Linked DNA regions of Saccharomyces cerevisiae S288C. The gene in region 1 interacts genetically with each later gene. Each region holds a gene or a part of one and is shown on either strand. Other genes may lie near its edges.

Region 1 (5,869 bases):
TGGCCACTATAAGAACTCATCTCAGATTTCCACAGTTAGTGAACAAAAATCGGAATCTTACTATTCTGCGGCAACGAGTATGCCTCCAGAGGAAGAGACTTACTTGACAAGACCATTGCCCAGCACACCCAATGAGGATAGCAGAGTTACATCGAATTTGAAACGTGACGACACATTGAAGGCTATTCATGATAGGGCAAATCATACCTCTACTTCGACAAACAAACAAGATGATGACATGTACGAGGACATCATTGAGGAAACGCCCAAGAAAACTAAACTCAAGAAGGATACGAAAAAAAAGCTCAATAAAAAAAAATCTGTGAAGGAATTGCGATCCTTTGATATCGACACACTAAATCAACTGTTGAGTGTGACAAAGGGAACCTTAATCGGGTCTGAATTTGCGCAACTGGGGATGAAAATTGAGGAGAAACGTGCCCTGGAGAGACTAGTAGACTCTTTGTCCAGGTTAACAGCAGACATGGTTCTTGATCCGGACCGCTATGAAGAAGGACTGAAAAGATTAGACAAAGCTACAAAGGCTCTTGAAGGGTTTTGATGGTGCAACAACAATAATAATAGTAATAGTAACAGTGGTAGTAACAATAACAATAACAATATCAATATCAATATCAATAATATATTATAATACTAATAATGAATAATAATAATAGCAATAAGTATAGTATAGTATAGTGGTAATATATAAGTTTCTTTCTCTTCCGGTTTATTTACAAGTCATATACAAATAAAAAAAAGTGATAGTAATTCAATGGCTTGTATTCATTGATACTTGGACAAGTCCGGCATACTTAAAATTTCCTTCTCTTTATTTTCACTGAATTCTTGTAGCTGCTTCAGCAATTTAGAATTGGCCCACTTGTCAGGCAAGGGGCTGGTTTTGAAATTTTTTGTGGCCCAATAGTATATGTCCCAGTCCAACTCATTCAATAGCGAATCGTATTCTTCCAGTTCCTCTTCGTTCATCTTCTTCAAATATTTGGCAGCGAACCCAGATAGCAGCAAGTCCGTCTCCAAGATCCCTCTTTTGCGTGATTGATATATCAACCGAGCTCTTTTCTTATCCAATGGCTCGTTAGTTCTCTTTATGGGGGCAATTTTAATCCTCGTCACCACATCGTCGTGGTCATCTTTATCACTACTAAACCACCTACGACCGCACGACCATGCAGCGGACCCTGTTTGAGAGTTGATAATCTTGTAGCCTTGCAACGACAGTGTCTTTGTGAGTGCTGGAAACATATTGTGCATTTATGTGCTCCTTTTTAAAGTGTACTCCCTTTTTTCCTCCTGTTCTTTTTTTACAAATTTCGCCTTTCTTATATATCCTAAATATACTTAAAATCTAGTCTCTTATGAAATCTGTAAGAAACAGCATAATGTCGCTCCTTCTCTTCTATTTCCTATATATATCTACATATCACCAAAGAACGTGAGAATGGGCAGGAAACATCTTGGTGATTCGTTCATTAACCGGCGGAACAATCTCTTGTATCATTGTAGTCTTTTTCACTACACACAGTTGTAACTGTGGGAAACAGTTTGCGCGTAAAAGTCCCAAGTTAATCAGTGTCACAAGTACGTTTTCGACGTTCTTGGGGGAGTGAATGCCATTATAAATGGTAATTTCCTGGGCGCCGGGATCCTCGAATGTCGGACCAATAGATAGCTGTAGTACCCGTTCTATCAAGGAGTACGGTAATTTGTTCTGACCCCATTCGGTGGTCCAGGACTTTATTACCGTTTTAATCAGATTTCTGTACGTTACCATGGGCAGTTTCTCTAGGAGCACGATCAGTAACTGTCTTGCACACAAATGACGCTCGTTTTGTCTCAGCCAGAGACTCACGCCTTGAATATTCCCATAACGTACGTGTTTGTAGAGAACACTCCAATTATCAATTGTTTCTTGGGAAAGGAACGGTCGCAACGGTCCCCATTTGACCATCTTTCCCAGTATCAGCCCTGTAGGGATCATGTAATTTAGTATTCTGGTGCCATTCCTAGTGATCGCTTGGTTCGTTAACGGCAAGTTCAATAAGGACTGGAAAGCTTCATTGAATTGAACGAAGGCATTATGTACTTGAGAGTTCAACAAGTAGTACCTTCCTAATAGATATCTGTATTCTATTTGCTGGTCGAGCTGGTATTCGTTGAAATGTGCAAGCATGCTTTTTGGCTGAAAGTTCTTAAAGATATTGGAACATAATTGCGGTGACTCGATCCTGAAGTAGATGTTATTTAGTTTATTGACCAGGTAGAGCAGTATTCGTTGTTTTCCAGGTATATTTGTAGAAGATGCGTTACCTCGTGGAGGTTTGATGCTGTTAAATAGTCTTGATAGGATGGACGATATATGTGATAGAAATTGGTGACTTCTCGTATGCAGTTGCAAGTGGAAAGAGTCTAGTTTCCCAGCGAGATTGATGATAAATTCTGTTTCTCTAGTTGCTACTGGTATCAACATTTCTATGTGAGGAGCATTGTCGTTGATGAGACAGTTGATTAAACATTGATAAAACTCAAAAATTAGATCCGAACTGGACCAGGCTGACCATGGGTCGACATCTCGGGCATAATTTAAAAAGGATGTACACATGATTTTGAATCTCGTATCATTGGGCATAGCCGGGTGTTGTTCTACAAACGTTTCTAGCTGTTTATCATCAAATCCGGTCAATTGCTTCTGTAAGATAGCAATTTCCCTACCATTTTGGGACAAGTTTAGCGTTAGGTGGGAAAAATTTCCATGTGCTAATTCATCTAGCAACTGGTTGGCCATGTCCATTGCTATCTATCCTTTTATCCCTGCCCTGTTTCTTACTTTGAATGCCATTGATGTGAAGATGGTTTTTTTTTTTTGGAAAAGTATAGAAGAGAAATTTGACGTATAAACTTAACTATTAAAGGGAGAGAAAGTCAACGACATAAAAAGCAAACACAATAGTCTACAAATAATGTCTATGGAGCCTCCTGTGGGGCTTACGGCTATGCCCGTCACCAAGCTAGCCATGATCACGACGCTTGTGGTTCCCTTAGTTGCCTCGATTGCAAGTTACAAACATATATTTCTATTGCAATATGATCCTTTTCTGCAGACCTACCATCAATACTACCGTCTGCTCATATTCCAGTTCTGCGCCATCAATGAATCCGATACAGTAATACTGGCGTTGATATGGTATCTGTTTAGGCATTTAGAACGGCTACTAGGATCCCACAAGTACTTGACCTTGATTGTTTTGTCATGGGCCTACACCACCTTAGGAATTTGGGGATTGAATCTGATCTGGAACGCATTTATTGGACAGTACAAGTGGCTTCAATGGAACAATTTTAGTACAGGTTCACTGCCCATTGTTTTAAGCTTAGTACATTTTTACAAAGAATACACCCCTCAGATTTACGAATGGAATATAAGATTACTAGGACCTCGAGGAGGAGCATCAAGTCACAATGATAACAAGCGAGAAGACAAGAGCGCCGTAGAGTGGAAAATCAACGATCAGTTTCTTTTAAATGGGTTAATTCTCCTGCTTATATTAAATCAGGGGTTTGCAGGAATACTATGCGGATTCATAAGCTGGATGTGTGGTATTTTCATCGATAAGGGCCTGTTACCGGGATTAGACCATTGGAGAATACCGTTTGTATCCTATTTCATCTCTCAAGGCCCACCCACGAGGGCTAACGTTGCTATAGCGGCCAATGCGGCCACGAATACAGCAGCAGCAAGAGCCACTGTAGAAGCAGCTACTGCTGCTACAGGAAATGGAAATACAGGCAACTCTGGGCCTACAAGCCTACCGCTTCGTGGTTCAAGCACCACCCCTACAAATACCTCTAGCGCTGGTGATGACGAGCCTGGTGCCGATGAACCTGCAAGACCACTGGGAGTCCAATTTTTGGATACCTTTAGGAGATGATTTATATCAGCATATACCTACATAAACAAATAAACATAGCAACGGTTTAGCAACATCGTTTACAGCCATGTGAGGCAGTTACTTCTATCATATGTCTGGCTTTAGTATTGTTGGGTTGACACTTATACGAAATATCAGAAAGTGAAAAAAAAAAAAGGAAGGATCTAGTGATGAGATAAACGAATTTGTGATGTAAATGCAGAAGTAGGCACAAGTGCTTGGCAGTTTTCAAACGATCATCGTATTTTAAGCTACAATCACCAACGCCAAACATCCACTTGCAGCCACTATGTCACAGCAGGAGAATGGTGATGTGGCCACTGAATTAATCGAAAATAGACTTTCCTTCTCAAGAATCCCTAGAATAAGCCTTCATGTAAGGGATTTGTCAATCGTTGCATCCAAAACAAATACGACGCTAGTTAATACGTTTTCCATGGACCTGCCCAGTGGGTCGGTCATGGCAGTTATGGGTGGTTCGGGGTCAGGGAAGACTACGTTGCTGAATGTTCTGGCATCCAAGATCAGTGGTGGGTTAACTCATAATGGTTCTATACGGTACGTATTGGAAGATACAGGTTCAGAACCCAATGAAACAGAGCCTAAGAGGGCTCACTTGGATGGCCAAGACCATCCCATCCAGAAACACGTAATAATGGCGTACCTACCTCAACAAGATGTACTCTCTCCTAGGTTGACTTGTAGAGAAACTCTTAAGTTTGCAGCTGATTTGAAACTAAACTCTTCTGAGCGAACCAAGAAATTAATGGTCGAGCAATTAATTGAAGAATTAGGGCTCAAGGATTGTGCCGATACTCTTGTGGGGGACAACTCGCACAGGGGTCTTTCTGGTGGTGAAAAGAGAAGACTAAGTATTGGTACTCAAATGATTTCAAACCCTTCCATCATGTTCTTAGATGAGCCTACCACTGGACTGGATGCATATTCTGCCTTCTTGGTTATTAAAACTTTGAAAAAATTAGCTAAAGAAGATGGCAGGACTTTTATCATGTCAATTCATCAGCCGAGATCGGATATATTGTTTTTATTGGACCAGGTTTGTATTTTGTCAAAGGGAAATGTGGTATATTGTGACAAAATGGATAATACTATCCCTTATTTTGAGTCTATTGGTTATCACGTACCCCAGCTGGTAAATCCAGCAGATTATTTCATTGATTTATCAAGCGTAGACTCTAGATCTGATAAAGAAGAAGCTGCCACGCAAAGTCGGCTAAATTCATTGATTGATCATTGGCATGATTATGAGAGAACTCATTTGCAACTACAGGCAGAATCTTATATAAGCAACGCAACGGAAATTCAAATTCAGAATATGACTACCAGACTGCCATTTTGGAAGCAAGTTACGGTGCTAACAAGGCGAAATTTCAAATTAAATTTTTCAGATTACGTTACTTTAATATCTACTTTTGCAGAACCGTTGATTATTGGTACTGTTTGCGGTTGGATTTACTATAAACCTGACAAAAGCAGTATAGGTGGTTTAAGGACAACAACCGCATGTCTTTACGCGTCCACAATTTTGCAATGTTACTTGTATTTGCTTTTTGATACTTATCGACTTTGTGAGCAGGATATTGCGTTATATGACAGAGAAAGAGCAGAGGGCTCGGTAACACCTTTGGCATTCATCGTAGCTAGAAAAATTTCACTTTTCCTCTCTGACGATTTCGCGATGACCATGATTTTTGTCAGTATAACATATTTTATGTTTGGATTGGAAGCAGATGCAAGGAAGTTTTTTTATCAGTTTGCTGTTGTATTTTTATGTCAGCTATCATGTTCCGGTTTATCTATGTTATCGGTGGCGGTATCGAGAGATTTTTCTAAAGCTTCATTAGTAGGAAATATGACATTTACGGTATTATCGATGGGATGTGGTTTTTTCGTTAATG
Region 2 (6,349 bases), on another chromosome or scaffold:
AGAATACCCAATGAGAAGAGATACTTTATACGTTAGACCACAATCCAATTTCGTCATCAGGTTTAAAGCCGATAACCCAGGTGTTTGGTTCTTCCATTGTCATATCGAATGGCATTTGTTGCAAGGTTTGGGTCTTGTTCTCGTGGAGGATCCTTTTGGTATCCAAGATGCTCATTCTCAACAACTCAGTGAAAACCACTTAGAAGTTTGCCAGAGTTGCTCTGTGGCCACTGAAGGTAACGCCGCTGCCAATACACTGGATTTAACTGATTTAACTGGTGAAAATGTTCAGCATGCCTTCATTCCTACCGGTTTTACCAAAAAAGGTATTATTGCCATGACATTCTCCTGCTTTGCCGGTATTCTTGGTATTATCACAATTGCAATTTATGGTATGATGGATATGGAAGATGCGACCGAAAAGGTTATTCGAGACTTGCACGTGGACCCTGAAGTCTTGCTAAATGAGGTTGATGAAAATGAAGAGCGTCAGGTAAACGAAGATCGTCATTCCACTGAAAAGCATCAATTTTTAACTAAAGCCAAACGGTTCTTCTAATAAAGGAAGATCATGTATTTTGCGGTTAACCTGTTTTTTTTTTTTCGGTCAAGGGTTCCAAATGCATTTGCATGTAAAGTGAATGCCCTTGTCTTACTTAATATTACATAGACATATACTTAATAATCTACCACGTTTCAAATTCAATAATGCATGCTTCTTGGCGGTTTTTGACATGAGATCCTCATCTGTCACGAGGCTGATGTGCATACTTTTACTTTTAATCGATGACATGATCAGTTTCTTTTGAACAAAAAGCCGTTATGGGTTGAAAAAAAGTGAAAATGAAAAAGTCATCAGAAATATATGAAAGATATAATAAATTGTCGAAGAGAAATTACGTCGAGGAGGTTGAGGAAAATAAGAATGGCAACGACAGATATCATATCTCTAGTAAAAAATAATTTACTCTATTTCCAAATGTGGACGGAAGTGGAAATTTTACAAGACGATTTATCATGGAAGGGAAATAGCCTGAGATTACTGAGAGGTCGTCCGCCTCACAAGCTGAGCAACGATGTAGACACAGAGCATGAAAATAGCTTGTCATCGCCACGCCCGCTAGAGTTCATATTACCCATCAATATGTCACAGTACAAAGAGAATTTTCTCACTTTGGAATGCTTGAGCCAGACATTTACTCACTTATGTAGTCCATCTACTGAAAGAATACTGCTGGCCATAATTAACGATGATGGTACAATTGTTTATTACTTCGTTTATAAAGGAGTACGAAAACCGAAAAGAAATTGAAAAATGAACTTAAAGACACCTTTCTGCATTATTTTGTTTATTTTTATTATATGTATTTACAGGCTAAATTATATAATGACATCACAACGTTTCCTTGCTCTCTAAATTGAGGATCTCTTTGCTCCAAGTTATTACTTGGTCTATGGACGAAGTCATCAATTTTGTTCGACATACTATTCAATAATTCACTTCCAAAGGTTTGTTCCAGTTTTGAACGGATGCGGTTACCATCAGGTAGGCCTAACTGAACGTAAAGATTTGCAAGGAAAAGAAGGTCGGAGGAAAGTATTACAGAATCATCCAGTTTTTTACGGGCAGCCAACCAATTGCTGACGCAACTCTGTAGTCTATTATCAAATTGAAGATTATATTTCACCTGTTGTAGCTCTTGCTTACCCTTAATTTTGTTCTTATGCGCAATTTTGAAGGTCTTTGATTGTGCTAGTTGCGAGGCTGACTCCATTGCTTTACTTTCTACAAATTCTTCATCATCCTCAAGGGTCAGTGAGCCTATAATCTCCTCACAATTTTCACGTGCTTGCGATCTTAGTTGCAATGGCGTATTATACCACATAGGAAAATATAGCAATTTTGAAAACAACTTCTTGGTATATTCATTGTAATTTTTGGTGTTCAAAAAGAGCTGGTAGTCCGTTAGTCTGGAAATTTCAACGTCAACATAATTCAATAGGGAATACTCTAAAAGGCGATCCTTTTTTCTAACAATTGCTAAATCTTCTTCATAATCCGTACCTTTCTCATATTTGCTAGTACATATATTTTTATGTAAGAATTGTACGATGTTCACGTAACCAGATACTTTCGTTCCATTATCTAAAATTAACACTGGTAGTTTTCCATCTGATGATAGGTCTGTATTGTTTGAGAATACGATCTGCAATCCCGCAACCATACTCTTTGCCTCTTCTGAAGTACATAACTTGATAAACCATACAAGCGCAATGCTGTCCACTGAAATCAACGATGCTTTGCCATCCTTTCCCCATAAATGCACACTACCTTTAACCATTACTGACTCGATAATAGCCTTGCTTTGCGTTTATTTGAAAAATACAAATTCCAGCATTAAATAGTAGCCATTCTAAATAGCTTATTTCTTATTACATTTCCCACTTCGTTTAAAATGATAACAATCGTGACAAAATTGTCGGTTACCTTGTAATAATTAAGAAGAAAAGTGTAGCTTGTGTGATGAAAGAGTATTCTACAACGAAATAAAAGGCCAAACTGGAGAGTCAAACAAGAGATATGTCCAGCTCTACGACTCCTGATTTACTATATCCCTCTGCGGACAAAGTCGCAGAGCCTAGTGACAATATACATGGAGATGAACTACGACTTAGAGAAAGGATTAAAGACAATCCCACGAATATTTTATCATACTTCCAGCTTATTCAATATTTGGAAACTCAAGAGTCATACGCTAAGGTGAGAGAAGTATACGAGCAATTTCATAACACATTCCCGTTTTATTCACCTGCGTGGACTTTGCAACTAAAGGGTGAATTGGCAAGAGATGAATTTGAGACTGTTGAGAAGATTTTGGCTCAATGTCTTTCTGGCAAGTTGGAAAATAATGACCTATCTCTTTGGTCAACATATTTGGACTACATACGCAGAAAAAACAACTTAATTACTGGTGGACAAGAGGCGAGAGCTGTTATTGTCAAGGCATTCCAACTAGTTATGCAAAAGTGTGCAATTTTTGAACCCAAATCATCTTCTTTTTGGAACGAATATCTCAATTTTTTAGAGCAGTGGAAGCCATTCAACAAATGGGAGGAGCAACAGCGAATTGACATGCTCAGAGAATTCTACAAGAAAATGCTATGTGTTCCTTTTGATAATCTAGAAAAAATGTGGAATAGATACACTCAATGGGAACAAGAAATAAATTCCCTAACAGCCAGAAAATTTATTGGCGAGTTATCAGCCGAATACATGAAAGCCCGTTCCTTATACCAGGAATGGTTGAACGTTACTAATGGATTGAAAAGGGCATCTCCAATTAATCTGCGCACAGCAAACAAGAAAAACATACCACAACCAGGTACCTCAGACTCAAACATTCAGCAGTTACAGATTTGGTTGAATTGGATAAAATGGGAAAGGGAGAATAAGTTGATGCTTAGTGAAGATATGCTATCACAAAGAATCAGTTACGTTTATAAACAAGGTATTCAATACATGATATTTTCTGCTGAAATGTGGTACGATTATTCAATGTATATATCTGAAAATTCGGATCGACAAAATATCTTATATACTGCGTTATTAGCTAATCCCGACTCACCTTCTCTTACATTCAAGTTATCCGAATGCTACGAACTGGATAATGATTCTGAAAGTGTTTCTAACTGTTTTGACAAGTGCACTCAAACTTTACTATCGCAGTATAAAAAGATCGCCTCCGATGTAAATTCGGGTGAAGATAATAACACAGAGTATGAACAAGAGCTGCTATACAAACAGAGGGAAAAATTAACATTCGTGTTTTGCGTGTATATGAATACGATGAAAAGAATATCAGGACTATCCGCAGCACGTACTGTATTTGGTAAATGTCGTAAACTGAAGCGTATATTAACACATGACGTCTACGTGGAAAATGCATATTTAGAATTTCAAAATCAAAACGATTATAAGACTGCTTTTAAGGTTTTAGAATTGGGTTTAAAATACTTCCAAAACGATGGAGTTTATATCAACAAATACTTAGATTTTTTAATATTTTTAAATAAGGATTCGCAGATCAAAACCTTATTTGAAACATCAGTGGAAAAAGTGCAAGATTTAACCCAGCTGAAGGAAATATACAAGAAAATGATAAGTTATGAATCGAAATTCGGTAACTTAAACAACGTTTATTCTCTAGAGAAAAGATTTTTCGAACGGTTCCCCCAAGAAAATTTGATTGAAGTTTTCACAAGTCGTTATCAAATTCAAAACTCCAACTTAATAAAGAAATTAGAGTTAACTTATATGTATAATGAGGAAGAAGACAGTTACTTTTCTTCTGGAAACGGGGATGGCCATCATGGCTCTTACAATATGAGTTCGTCAGATAGAAAGAGACTAATGGAGGAAACTGGAAACAATGGAAACTTCTCCAATAAGAAATTCAAAAGAGACTCAGAGCTTCCAACAGAGGTTCTTGATTTATTGAGCGTTATACCAAAACGTCAATATTTTAATACAAATTTACTCGATGCGCAGAAATTGGTGAATTTTTTAAATGATCAAGTAGAGATTCCAACAGTTGAGAGCACCAAGTCAGGTTAACATTACGTTAATAAATAGGTATATATGAATATTTATACCAACACATCTATTATAATAGGCGAACCTCTGTATGTAATTAAGTAAAAAAAAAACGATGTGACAGGATAGTTAAGGTGCCTCGTACATAAATAAAAACGGAAATAGTTAATTCTTTCAAAAATATGGCAATAGCCAAACTCATTCAGAAGGTACAGGAAACACTCTGTTTCTGTGCGTTTATATAACCATGCTTATAAAAGAAAGATTGAACAAAATATACATGAATTTATGAACGGTAATCACCGTTAATTGTTACATATTCATGTGATAAATCACAAGTCCAAAATTGTGCTGCCTGATCACCGGTTCCCAAGTCGACAGACACTTCCAAATCATTCAAAGCCAATATTTCAGAAGCCCTTGTTTCATCGATCTCCAATTGTGGCACACCATTAGCGACAAGCTTCAGCTCACGAGGTTCTGAATTGTCGGTAGCAATAAAGCTAACATTAATTTTGTTGACATCTAGAGATTTTAAGTCATTCAGCTTTGCATACCCGATCGCGCACAATATTCTTCCCCAATTGGCATCTTGCCCATATAGTGCGGTTTTGACCAACATAGAGTTTGAGATTGATTCAGCAATTATTTTGGCGTCTTCAAAATGCAAAGCATTTTTAACGTTAACAGTAACAAACTTTGTCGAACCTTCACCATCGCGAACGACTAACTGGGCCAAGCGCTGAGCAAATTCTGTGACCTGCAATTTTACTTGTTCAAAATCTTTAGAGTCTTCGTTAATTTCTTTGGTGTCAATAGCACCGTTGGCCAACATGCAAATTGTGTCATTGGTGCTCATATCACCGTCCACCGATATACAATTAAATGAACGGGTAGTAGCGAAAGTCAGCATCTTCTGCAACGCCTTGCTTTCAATAGGAAGATCTGTAACTATGAAACCTAATAAGGTAGCCATATTCGGACAAATCATACCCGCGCCCTTTGCCATACCTGTCAAAGTATACTCAGTACCACTAGGTAATTTGAATCTAGATGTAACTAATTTTGGGAAAGTATCAGTAGTACAGATTGATTTGGCTACGTTCAACCAAGAGTTAAAATCACTGCCGAACTTTTCTTCTCCAAAAATTTTATTGATACCAGTGCTGATCTTGTCCATCTGTAGTCGTTGTCCAATAACGCCTGTAGACATGACTAGGGTAGAATTTTTTTGACCAATTTTATCGTTAACCAAATCAATCATTACTTGGGCATCTTTCATACCAAGATCACCTGTGACCGAGTTAGCACAACCGGAATTGACTACAATAGCGTTGATGTTTTTACCACGAGCAGTTTCAAGGACTTTTTTCGATGTCAAAACTGGCGCAGCTTTGAATTTATTGGTCGTGAAAACAGCTGCTGCGGTTGAAGGACGAGATTTATTGGTATTCAAGATTACACCCAGGTCCAGGCTCCCGTTTTTTTTGACTCCAGATGCAGTGTAGCCTACTTCAAATCCTTTAGGAAAAGAGCCCGTCTTGGGCACGTATAATGCATACTTATCTATAAGCTGCTTCGAGCGTTGAAGCAATGTTGATGATATTCTCATGCTATGTTGAATTTTGGACTTCTTTAAATAAAGGGAATAGAAGTATTGCTGATACTAGCCCAAAAATCGTCACCTTTGTGCGGCGAGCCGAGGATGAGGCTTTTATATACTCGACGACTAAAGAAGTTGGCAACGAATTACGC
Region 3 (5,903 bases), on another chromosome or scaffold:
GAGTCTCGGGTACGTTAGCTGCCAGAGGCTTTAACATCGATTCGTTGGTCGTGTGCAACACCGAGGTCAAAGACCTAAGTAGAATGACCATTGTTTTGCAAGGGCAAGATGGCGTAGTCGAACAAGCACGCAGACAAATCGAAGACTTGGTCCCCGTCTACGCCGTCCTAGACTATACCAATTCTGAGATCATCAAAAGAGAGCTAGTGATGGCCAGAATCTCTCTATTGGGTACTGAATACTTCGAAGACCTACTATTGCACCACCACACTTCCACCAATGCTGGCGCCGCTGACTCCCAAGAATTGGTCGCCGAAATCAGAGAAAAGCAATTCCACCCTGCCAACTTGCCCGCCAGTGAGGTATTAAGGTTGAAGCACGAGCATTTGAACGATATCACCAACTTGACCAACAACTTTGGAGGTCGTGTCGTCGACATCAGCGAAACAAGCTGTATTGTGGAGTTGTCTGCAAAACCCACACGTATCTCTGCCTTCTTGAAGTTGGTCGAGCCATTCGGTGTCCTAGAGTGTGCAAGAAGCGGTATGATGGCATTGCCAAGAACTCCTTTGAAGACAAGCACCGAGGAAGCTGCCGACGAAGACGAAAAGATCAGCGAAATCGTCGACATTTCCCAACTACCACCTGGTTAGGTTAGTCTCTCGGCCTTGCGATCGCCCTCGGGACTCTCCTCTATACATCTATATAACGTATCTATAACCATGAGCCTATTTACTCATAAGTTGCTATGATTGTACGTTTGTACGAGGTGACGCGTTACTAAACTATTTTTTTCTTTTGGTTTTCTGCTTTCCTCTTCGATTTTGCCAGATACGAAAAAGGTTAAAGACACAATACCTTGGTGGCTTCTCTAAGTGGGGGGAGTTTTTCACAGCAAAACACACGGTCACCTTTCTTATTATGGACGGATATTGGGATGTTGTAGTGTCGTCCTTGCAAGACATATACAATGCCAACGAGGTCATTCCCTTTGATGATGAGCTGCAAACAAAAAAACTAAATTTCCTTAATATGTCAAAGGATCAGCTGCAATTGCATCTCAACACTTTCCAAGAACACATGGAAAACGTCAACAGAGTGCACCGAATCCTTGACAATGTACGTTCCAATTTGTCGTTGATGTTGAATCAGTCACGAGAGGAAAAGAGTGAGGAAAATACTGAAGATGCAGAAGAAGGAGAAGGGACACGCATGGCATTGTCGCAGGGCAAGAAAGCTGTGGGGAAAGTTGGCAGATCGTACTGGACCAGCGAATACAACCCAAATGCACCTATTTTGGTGGGCTCAGAGGTTGCCTATAAGCCCAGAAGGGGCAGTGCCGACGGCGAATGGATACAGTGTGAAGTACTCAAAGTCGTAGCAGATGGTACACGATTTGAAGTGAGAGATCCTGAACCTGATGAATTGGGCAACTCAGGCAAGGTGTATAAATGTAATCGGAAAGAACTACTGTTGATCCCGCCAGGCTTTCCCACTAAGAACTACCCGCCAGGTACTAAGGTTCTGGCAAGATATCCTGAAACGACCACTTTTTATCCTGCAATTGTCATCGGAACCAAGAGGGACGGCACTTGCAGGCTTCGATTTGATGGTGAAGAGGAAGTGGACAAAGAGACGGAAGTGACTCGCCGTCTAGTGCTGCCTTCGCCAACGGCTTTGGCAAACCTAGCAAGGAAATAGCAATGGTGGTTAACATTTACTACATATCATAAGATCTTCTCATGGCATTTTGTCATTATTTTGGTATCGTCGGAAGTGATGTATTCACTTGAAGGTGAAAAAAATTGAAAAAAAATGAAAGCTTGGATGAAATCAATTATATTGAGGATTTCCCATTAGAAATAAGCTATGGGCGAAAAGGAAACAAACATCAGCTGGATTTTTTCGCCAAGATGGAGAGAGAGCTAGGGATGTATGGAAATGATAGGAGTAGATCAAGATCACCTGTACGTCGTCGTTTGAGCGACGACAGAGACAGGTACGATGATTATAACGATAGTAGCAGTAATAATGGTAATGGCAGTCGTCGTCAGAGACGCGACCGAGGCTCCCGTTTCAATGATCGGTACGATCAGAGTTATGGTGGCAGCCGCTACCACGATGATAGGAACTGGCCCCCTCGCCGAGGAGGCCGTGGCAGAGGAGGAAGCAGATCATTCAGAGGGGGACGCGGTGGCGGTAGGGGTCGTACTTTAGGTCCAATTGTTGAAAGAGACTTAGAAAGGCAATTTGACGCGACCAAGAGAAATTTTGAAAATAGTATCTTCGTGAGAAACTTGACTTTTGATTGTACCCCTGAAGACCTTAAGGAATTGTTTGGTACAGTGGGCGAAGTTGTGGAGGCTGACATTATCACATCAAAGGGCCATCACCGTGGTATGGGGACTGTGGAATTTACCAAAAACGAATCTGTCCAAGATGCCATATCGAAGTTTGATGGTGCCCTCTTTATGGACCGGAAACTAATGGTAAGACAGGATAATCCTCCTCCTGAAGCTGCCAAGGAATTTTCTAAGAAAGCTACTAGGGAAGAAATAGATAATGGGTTTGAAGTGTTCATCATCAATTTACCGTACTCTATGAATTGGCAATCCTTAAAAGATATGTTTAAAGAATGTGGTCATGTCTTGCGTGCCGATGTAGAATTGGATTTCAACGGATTTTCAAGAGGATTCGGTTCTGTCATTTATCCTACTGAGGATGAAATGATTAGAGCTATCGATACATTCAACGGCATGGAAGTAGAAGGTAGAGTTTTGGAAGTTAGAGAAGGGCGTTTCAACAAGAGAAAGAACAATGATCGTTATAATCAAAGGCGTGAGGACCTTGAAGATACCAGAGGTACTGAACCAGGTCTTGCGCAGGATGCCGCTGTCCACATTGATGAAACTGCAGCAAAATTTACTGAAGGTGTCAATCCAGGAGGGGATAGAAACTGTTTCATTTATTGTAGTAATTTACCATTCTCAACAGCAAGAAGCGATTTATTCGACTTGTTTGGGCCTATCGGCAAAATCAATAACGCGGAATTGAAACCACAGGAAAATGGTCAACCAACTGGTGTTGCTGTTGTAGAATATGAAAATTTAGTAGATGCAGATTTTTGTATTCAAAAATTAAATAATTATAATTATGGTGGTTGTAGTTTACAGATCTCTTATGCTAGACGTGATTAATTCCTAAGCACCAACCGAACCATGACCTGTGTACTTTATGATAACGTATAAATAATAAGGAAGCGGGCGGGTTATAAATAACTTTAATAGTTATATTTATCATTTTGACCAAAAAGAATAACCTTATTTAATCCCTGTAAAAGAGCACCACTTCCAGCGATGAGATGCGAAAAGCGAAGAAAAAAAAAAAAAAAAAAAGGGTATTCTAAACTGAATATATAAAAACTGCCACCAATTAAGAGAAGAAAAGCTACACAATTAATTTCCAAAAATTGCAAATACGAGTATGAAGAGTTTGTTCTATCTCAAATTGCTCCTCTGGGTTGTGCTATTGTCTTTATGCCTTCTTATGGCACACCGGAAAACCAAAGTTGGTATGTATATTTAAGCATTTGAAAATGCAAAGTGCAAACCGTATCTAAATACTAACAGCTGTAATAGCCGACAAATTTCGTGCACTGCGTTCAAGAATACAATTACGTTTTAATAGACATATACGTTTAAATGATTCCTTTGCTGATGACCTAGAAAACGGTCTCCATTCCAGGAATTTCGATATTATCTCGGAGAATAGCAACGACGTAAGAGGTGGTTTGGATGATGTCTCCAAGAATGAGATTAAACAAATTATGGAAAACGATAATGTAGATTTCGATAAGGCTAGACTATTATATATGGAAAGAAAGTTCGGCCAAAATGGTATTGCCCCCGATGGAACCCCTATTGATCCAAAAGCATTCACCTTTGATAGTAGGTAAAGGTATCTAATATATTCAGTTTTACTTAAGTGGGAGGTTTTTCCCCCTTTTTCTTATTTGTCCATATTTTATGTAAATGTATACATTGCATTAAATTAAAAAGAAAAAAAAAATCAATAAAACACTCAATAAAATTTCAGTTTCTCTGGGCCACCAACAGCGCAGTTCTGTTTCCCATCTTCATCTTCATCGTCACTCAACGCAACAAAATCTTTTAAGTACGCGTACGAAGCATCTTTAGTTAACAGCATATTTGTCATATTACCGATAGATCCCTCTCCAGTATATTTGTATTTTCTACTGTCGTTGTTTTTCAAAGGAACAGTATTACGCTCTGGCGTCAATGCTTTAGTTCTCCTACTTAGATCAGCAAAGTCAATTTTGCTAGGGGAAACCCAAATGGGCTCGTCTTTTTGTTTCTTTCGAAGGAACCCCTCTTTCTCATGCTTTGTGCTACTCTGAGGCAAAACATAGATTAATGGTCCACTAGGAGACTCTTGAACTTTCTGAGCATTTCCTAACACGGTTTTATTCGAACTTAAGTCGGATGATATTTTCATATTGTCAGTACTCATGGAGGTATTTCCAAATGCTATATTAAATGAACTGAATTCTAAATCATCTAACAGTTCGGTAGGTTTTTGATCAATATTACCGCTACTCAACTTATCGTCTGTGCTCTTGTTATTTGAAGTTGTAACGTTAATACTTCGCGGAGTATTTGGAAGTTCTTCCACCGGAAATTCAGCAGTGGGTTCCTCTGCTGGAGTATAGAATCTGTCATCCGGAATTTCATCTTGGGATGGAAATTTTAATTCCATCAGCCTTTTGTCAGGTTCATCATTGTTGTGAGTATCATAAGTGAACGAAATATCAGATGGAGAGCCATTTTCATATTTTCTAGTGTCTTCAAAAGTCCTTCCGATAATTCTCACAGGCGATGTTCTAATAACTTTGAATGCTGGGGGCTTCTCGATTTTTGGAATAGAATTGGATGGATTATTATTACCGACATCTTCATTACCGGTTTTGCTGCCCTTCAATTCTTCCTTAAGTTCTTCTTCAATTTCGAAGAATTTGTCATCACTTTTTTCAATACCCGAGTCATCTAGATGCGCCTTAGGCAAATAAGTTGGGATAGGTTGCTGCATTTCATACTCAATCACTTCAGAAATTTGAGTCATTCTTTCCGCCTTGGCATCATCCTGACTTTTATTTATAATTGCCGCATCTTCCTCAGTATTGACTTTTAGTCCCTCACTTAAGGAGACTTGACTAGCCAAGCGTTTCCAGTTATAATGGGCATCATGCTTATCTAAAACCACCCTCATTCCTTGAAAGAGCTCAATATAGGATGGTGACCTTTGAAAGTTAATTTTTGAAGCTGGCGGCGCTAACCTAGGAATAGTGGGGAATATTTCTTTCCGTTCAGTTATTCCTTCAACAAAATTTTTTGGTTTAGTTATTTCTTTCGCTGTTTCTTTATCACTGTAATCATCTCCTAATTTTATGTCCTTTGCGTCCTTCCCTTCATTGTTGGTATCTTTTAATTCATTAGAATTTTCTGTCAGCACTTTACTCGCTTGTGGAGAGAGTTTCTGCGTCAATGTAGATGCATCTTCATTAGTTTTGAGAGATATGTTAGTGTTTTCATTTGATACGCCCTTTTCTTGGGGCACCTTTCCCTCTGGAAACAAATTACTCGAGCTGTTAATGTTCTCCTGTTTATTACGGTAATGCTTAGGAATAAAATCACCAAAGAGGTCATCGTTAAAAACTCTACTTTCATTCTGTCTGTGTTCATCGTCATCACTTAAGTTTTCAACATCAGCTGCACGTAAAAATTCGCTTTGGGTATCAATACGTTGGTCCCCAGCCGATGTTGTAGAAACCCTATTTGCTGTAGTCACCTCAGCAAGGTCTGGCAGCTCTTTATTTCCATGAACTG
Region 4 (5,796 bases), on another chromosome or scaffold:
TTGATAAGCTGAATCAAGGGAGCTAACTCCACTTCTAGCGTATAGTCCCTTGAAGAGACAATTCGAAAGATCGTCTCGGTGATAGCTGTATGCGGATGATCCGAAAGAAACCCCATGTTCTTGTTTTGCCTGCCTCCAATGCTTTATCACTCTCTCACACTGTCACAATCGTGTTGTCTTCATCCTTAGAAAGGATACCACATTGATAAACAACATATATAAAGTTTAACTATTACCTTGATCACTTTACACGTCAAGGTCAAAACAGTTTCATAGTTATCACCTTGAAGTATGGCTCCATCATCTATAAAACATGAACTTCATGCACAAGTGAGCTGTCTACAGATAACGAGCAGCCGCAACGGCGTTTCCAGATTGCGATGCTTGTTTTCTTTATCTACTACTGCCTTACTACCCCCCTTGCGCCTCCTGATTCACGTGATGTGGGAATTTTGTCTTGAAAGGAGTAAATATATAAAATAAATGAAAAGTTTATATAATATAAAAAGGGACTTTAGCATAAAATAAAGAACTTCGTGCAGTACTTATACGAGCATTCGCATAATTATACAAATAGACAAAACCTCAGAAGGAAAAAAAATGGTATCTCAAGAAACTATCAAGCACGTCAAGGACCTTATTGCAGAAAACGAGATCTTCGTCGCATCCAAAACGTACTGTCCATACTGCCATGCAGCCCTAAACACGCTTTTTGAAAAGTTAAAGGTTCCCAGGTCCAAAGTTCTGGTTTTGCAATTGAATGACATGAAGGAAGGCGCAGACATTCAGGCTGCGTTATATGAGATTAATGGCCAAAGAACCGTGCCAAACATCTATATTAATGGTAAACATATTGGAGGCAACGACGACTTGCAGGAATTGAGGGAGACTGGTGAATTGGAGGAATTGTTAGAACCTATTCTTGCAAATTAAGGGCAGACAAAGTTTTTTCCATGCACACAGGTTTATAATGAGCTTATATATATGTATATGTATATGTATACAAGCATGTGTTTGTATTTACAGGAAAAAAATCGATGAATATATTTAGTGTGTCGGAAGAGTGCTTGTGAAGGCGTCTTTAGCAGTTCCGAAATACGTTAACCCACCGAATTCCGTTTGGCAGACTCTTTCCTTCCTACTGCTCTTGACGCCCTTGCGGTACGTCCGATTTTTGACTGCCTCCTCGATGGAGATGGCATACGACATGGGCACCACTTTAGGCTCTCGTACGTCTCGTTCTCCCCAAACTTTTACTTGGCCCATTACTTTAAGAACATCGTCCATGCCGCTTATTTTCCTGAAATTAACATCGCAAAACTTCATGAACAAATGCAGGGTATAGTAGGCATCGTTACCGGCATTGTGTAGAAACGCATGCGGTATCTCGAACAACCGCAGAATCTTGCCCAGACTGCTGCCCTTTTCGCCATACGATTTCCTGTAAAACTGCTCAGTGTCCAAGATGAACACGTCTAGATCACCGGGAGTTTCAGCCAAAAGCAGCGTATGGTCCAGATGGCCTTCATACCCTCTGCCAGGGAATTTGACACCAATAGTCTCCAGCCACTTAAGATCCCCGCTCACGTGATGACCAACAAATGCCCTTGACCATGTCTTGTCTTCTTCGGTCACCGGGACCAAGTAATAGTTTATTAGTGATTGAATGAAATGCACGCACTCTTTCAAGCTCAAAACATAGCTTTCTCCCAATAAGTAGCAATCCTTGTAGTCACAGACCCATTTTTGGTTTCTAAGTTCCAGGGACTCCTCGATAATTAGGTGGTAATTCTTTGTAATTGGAACCATTGACGGCACCATATTTTCCCTGGGGTCATAAATTGAAATCCCAATTTCGGTGATTACGTTCTGGTTTGTTTCGAAAGCCTCTATATCAAGACAAAAGCATATTGCTCTCTGAGAGGCCATCAGCCTGATGCATTTCTCCAGATAAGCAAATTCATTCGAGCGTGAATGTGCTTCCACCATGGGCCAGAACGTCTTCCTCACGCTGTTTTTCTCGTCAGCCAGTAGTTTCTGTTCTGTCTCTAGGAGCTTGATGGTACCATTCATTCCTAACATTTTCTTCTGAATGGCTTCGAACCAAGCGGTGTCGCTCATTCCTTTGGGCTGCGGACAGATACAGTTGGCTCGGTCCTCTTTGGTCAATGGAGACAGCCGCTGTGATCTTTTGGACCTGGGTGGTACGATCGTGTCGCTTAATCTTTTCAAAAACCGGCGTTCTTCCACGAGTTTTTCCAGTTTTGCATGCACATCACCATGTACCATATGCCATTCACTGTCCACCTGCGCCAGTTTGGCTTCCAATTGCGCCCTGGATTGTCCATAGGAGGCATCAAACTTCTGCCTCATCTCCGCCACATATGCATCGATCATGGGCTTCCTTAGTTGGTCCAATTCCTTAGAAAACGCGGTCTTTCTCAACTGTACATAGTAATCTATCTGGTCCAGCCAATTGCACTTAGCACGGTCCCAGGGCGTATTCAATTGGGTCCTGGCATCCAGAAACGCCTCCACACAGCCCGCGATCTTGCCGCTTCCTGTTCGGTCCTTCACTAATCCTCTGACAGAGAGCGTCCCATTACTTAGTTTTGTTGCCAAAGCACCGGTATTACCGCTTCTGGAACGATAACGGGGGCCTGCGCCGTTATTATTCCTCCTCTCCCAATGGACGCTTTTATCGCTACCGTTATTACTGTTATCTCTCACCATTTTTTGAACCTGCATGTGGATCTGGACTCTCGAGCAAGACCCAAGTTCTCATTGCCTCCTTTCCTTCTTCCCTTCTTATATGTTGTCTTGTTGAACCTCAAAACACTAGCGGATAATACGGATTTTGAGGGATGCTCATCGCAAATTTTTCAGAAATGGTGCACGGATGTACCCACGCAATGAAAAATTTTTTTCACTTCTGGTAGGTCAAGAACAAAGAAAGAAAAGTACAAGTGTAAACATTTCTTAACATCTTTTTCGGTTTTATGAAGATCTTTTGGGATCCTAGATCGGTAATAGAACATCAGGATTACTCTGGACCTGCTAACGTGTTTCATCTTCTTTTCACTTCTCTGCCCACGATGTCTGCTGAAACCGCCGCCGCAAACACTGCTACTGCCCCAGTCCCAGAAGTGCAAGAACAAGAGAGCTCCAAGAGCAAGCAAGTCAACTTGACGCCGGCACCATTGCCCACATCTTCCCCATGGAAACTTGCTCCTACTGAGATCCCTGTTTCTACTATCTCAATAGAAGACTTGGATGCCACAAGAAAGAAGAAGAACAGAACACCCACTCCGAAATCATCGACTGCTACCAAGTGGGTTCCCATCAAGGCCTCCATTACCGTCTCTGGCACCAAAAGATCCGGTTCCAAGAATGGTGCAAGTAATGGCAACAGCAACAAGAGCAAAAACAACAAAACTGCAGCATCGTCGACATCGTCGAGTAATGCTAACAGGAAAAAGAAGCATCACCAACATAATGCTAAGAAGCAACAACAAATGAAGAAAGATGGCTTTGAATCGGCAGTAGGTGAGGAAGATTCAAAAGACGCTACCTCTCAAGAAAATGGTCAATCTACACAACAGCAACAACCACCTCACCACCGTAATCATCACCACAGTCATCACCATAACAGCAATGGTCCTCAAAGGAGAAAGTTCCACAACAGTAATAACGCCGGTATGCCTCAGAACCAAGGCTTCCCACCACAGTTTAAACCTTACCAAGGACGCAACGCTCGTAATAACAACAACAACCGCTCTAAATACCACAACCACTTCCATCACAACCAACAACATCCTCAACAACCTATGGTCAAATTACAGCAACAGTTTTATCCAGTCCAACCAGTGTTAATGGCCATCAACAACATTGCTAGACAAATTGAATACTATTTCAGCGAAGAAAACTTGACCGTCGACAATTACTTAAGGTCCAAACTCTCCAAGGATGGTTTTGCTCCATTGTCTTTAATCTCTAAGTTTTACAGAGTTGTTAACATGTCCTTCGGAGGTGACACTAACCTGATTTTAGCCGCATTGAGAGAAATTGTCGCTAACGAAGCCGCTACCGTCAATGTTGCAGAAGGTACTTTGGCCGCCAAGGAAGGTGATAACGTTACCGGTGAAGCCAAAGAACCATCTCCATTGGATAAGTACTTCGTTCGTTCCAAGAGCTGGTCAAACTGGTTACCAGAAACTTTTGAAACTGAAATTAATATTGAAAAAGAACTGGTCGGCGATGCATTGGACCAATTCATGATATCCCTACCACCTGTTCCTCAACAAGAAGAGGAATCATCCACTGAACTCGCTTCTCAAGAACAAGAAACCAAAGAAGACTCTGCGCCGGTTGCTGCCGGTGAATCCGAGTCTTCCTTATAAAGGCCTCTCACACTTGCAAAATAAAAAATGGATTCGTTCATTGCATTTTACACAAAAAACCATAAAAAATTGAAAAACCTAATAATTAAAAAAATTAAAAGTTAATCATCCTCCAGCAAAGCTGTTTTTTTTTTGTTTTTTTTTTTTTTTTTGTTTTTTTATCCATTTTTTTCATTTGTTCCATCAGTTTAATACGAAAGAGAAAATAAAAATAAAAACTTTGAACAATTTTCATGTTTTGAATTCATTGTACATTATCATCATAAGCAATAAGATACAAATATTTATGTTTTTTTTTTTTTGTTTTTTTTTTTTTTTAAGATATAAAAATACTAGCCTCTTCTCACTTCGTTTTCTCTCTGTCTAAGTGGCTACCATCATGAGATATGATATTCTTTCTTCTCCCTGCGCAATTCTTAAACCACCTGCTTTTTTTATTCAATTTTTTGCTAATTTAATAATTGGGAAGAAGATATGAAAAATGCCTATTTTACTCTAAGCAATTCATATGTAAAAAATTTTATGTATAGTTTTTTTTTTCTCTTTTGTGCTGTCAAATTCCTTTTTATTGTCATCTAAGACCATGCTTTAGCTTCTGTCATGTATAATGCAACGTGTCTTAGATTATTAATTGTTGTATTGTGCGGCATTGATAGCGCCGCTCAACAATTTTAGGAAATTGCTAAAATTAATTCCTTAAAACGGTATTTTCCTAAACGAAAATACCTCAGCTATTGAAAGATGCGTAGTGTAAACAAAAGGAAAGATTTCAAACTGTACCTATATTACCACGGTTTTTGCCCTTATAAGCAATAGTTTGCTCATAACATATTCTCTACATTAGATATGAGCTATGGAACTATAAATGATATGAATGAATCGGTAACGAACTATCGAATAAAAAAAGCCCAAAACAATATCAAGGGATGGTACGCTTACTCATTTTCTAGCGAACCATTTGTCGTTTCTGCGGTTTCAACGTATATTCCCTTACTACTGCAGCAATTTGCGAGTATAAATGGTGTAAAAGTTCACGATCACTCCATACCCTGCCTGTCAGAAACGGGTAGTGATTCAGATAAGTGTGTTCTTGGTTTGTTCAACAATCGGATCTTCGTAGATACTTCAAGTTTTGCATTATATGTCTTTTCCCTTAGCGTTTTATTCCAAACTATAATAGTCATTTCCGTTTCAGGGATAGTAGATCTCTGGGGGAGCGTTAAATTCAAAGGCAGAATTCTGGTTTGGTTTGGTATTGTGGGCGCATTGTCGACTGTTGCGATTTCAAAATTGAATGATACCCAGATTTATTCTCTGGCTGGGCTTTATATAGTGGCCAATGGTTGTTTTGGCGTTATCAATGTTGTTGGGAATTCTCTTCTGCCCATTTTTGTCA

The links.
Region 2: mutations in THP1 (region 1) and RNA14 are lethal when combined (synthetic lethality), as found in Saccharomyces cerevisiae (one study listed by BioGRID).
Region 3: mutations in THP1 (region 1) and GBP2 together harm fitness more than expected from each alone (negative genetic interaction), as found in Saccharomyces cerevisiae (2 studies listed by BioGRID).
Region 4: mutations in THP1 (region 1) and SRO9 together harm fitness less than expected from each alone (positive genetic interaction), as found in Saccharomyces cerevisiae (2 studies listed by BioGRID).

Annotation. Positions count from the first base shown.
Region 1 is NC_001147.6:191,913-197,781, reverse strand, and holds THP1 (Thp1p), read right to left. Parts: upstream 2,813-5,869; coding exon 1,445-2,812; downstream 1-1,444. Other genes in the region: NBA1 (Nba1p), read left to right, coding at 1-562; succinate dehydrogenase assembly factor SDH5, read right to left, coding at 787-1,275; DSC2 (Dsc2p), read left to right, coding at 2,982-3,950; YOL075C (uncharacterized protein), read left to right, coding at 4,240-5,869. UniProt on the Saccharomyces cerevisiae protein: Component of the SAC3-THP1 complex, which functions in transcription-coupled mRNA export from the nucleus to the cytoplasm.
Region 2 is NC_001145.3:390,174-396,522, forward strand, and holds RNA14 (cleavage polyadenylation factor subunit RNA14), read left to right. Parts: upstream 1-2,581; coding exon 2,582-4,615; downstream 4,616-6,349. Other genes in the region: ferroxidase FET3, read left to right, coding at 1-559; SEN15 (Sen15p), read left to right, coding at 926-1,312; SAM complex subunit SAM37, read right to left, coding at 1,359-2,342; ARG7 (glutamate N-acetyltransferase), read right to left, coding at 4,881-6,206. UniProt on the Saccharomyces cerevisiae protein: Component of the cleavage factor IA (CFIA) complex, which is involved in the endonucleolytic cleavage during polyadenylation-dependent pre-mRNA 3'-end formation and cooperates with the cleavage factor NAB4/CFIB and the cleavage and polyadenylation factor (CPF) complex.
Region 3 is NC_001135.5:99,369-105,271, reverse strand, and holds GBP2 (single-stranded telomeric DNA-binding/mRNA-binding protein), read left to right. Parts: upstream 1-1,913; coding exon 1,914-3,197; downstream 3,198-5,903. Other genes in the region: ILV6 (acetolactate synthase regulatory subunit), read left to right, coding at 1-653; SGF29 (Sgf29p), read left to right, coding at 922-1,701; YCL012C (uncharacterized protein), read left to right, coding at 3,484-3,571, 3,639-3,955; BUD3 (Bud3p), read right to left, coding at 4,081-5,903. UniProt on the Saccharomyces cerevisiae protein: Binds to intron-containing transcripts and is involved in quality control for the export of spliced mRNAs from the nucleus. Binds to pre-mRNAs until splicing is completed or until faulty mRNAs are degraded.
Region 4 is NC_001135.5:55,978-61,773, reverse strand, and holds SRO9 (Sro9p), read left to right. Parts: upstream 1-3,095; coding exon 3,096-4,400; downstream 4,401-5,796. Other genes in the region: LSB5 (Lsb5p), read right to left, coding at 1-116; dithiol glutaredoxin GRX1, read left to right, coding at 601-933; GFD2 (Gfd2p), read right to left, coding at 1,048-2,748; ATG22 (Atg22p), read left to right, coding at 5,247-5,796. UniProt on the Saccharomyces cerevisiae protein: May overlap in function with tropomyosin and may be involved in organization of actin filaments. Acts as a multicopy suppressor of RHO3 mutation. RNA-binding protein which may modulate mRNA translation.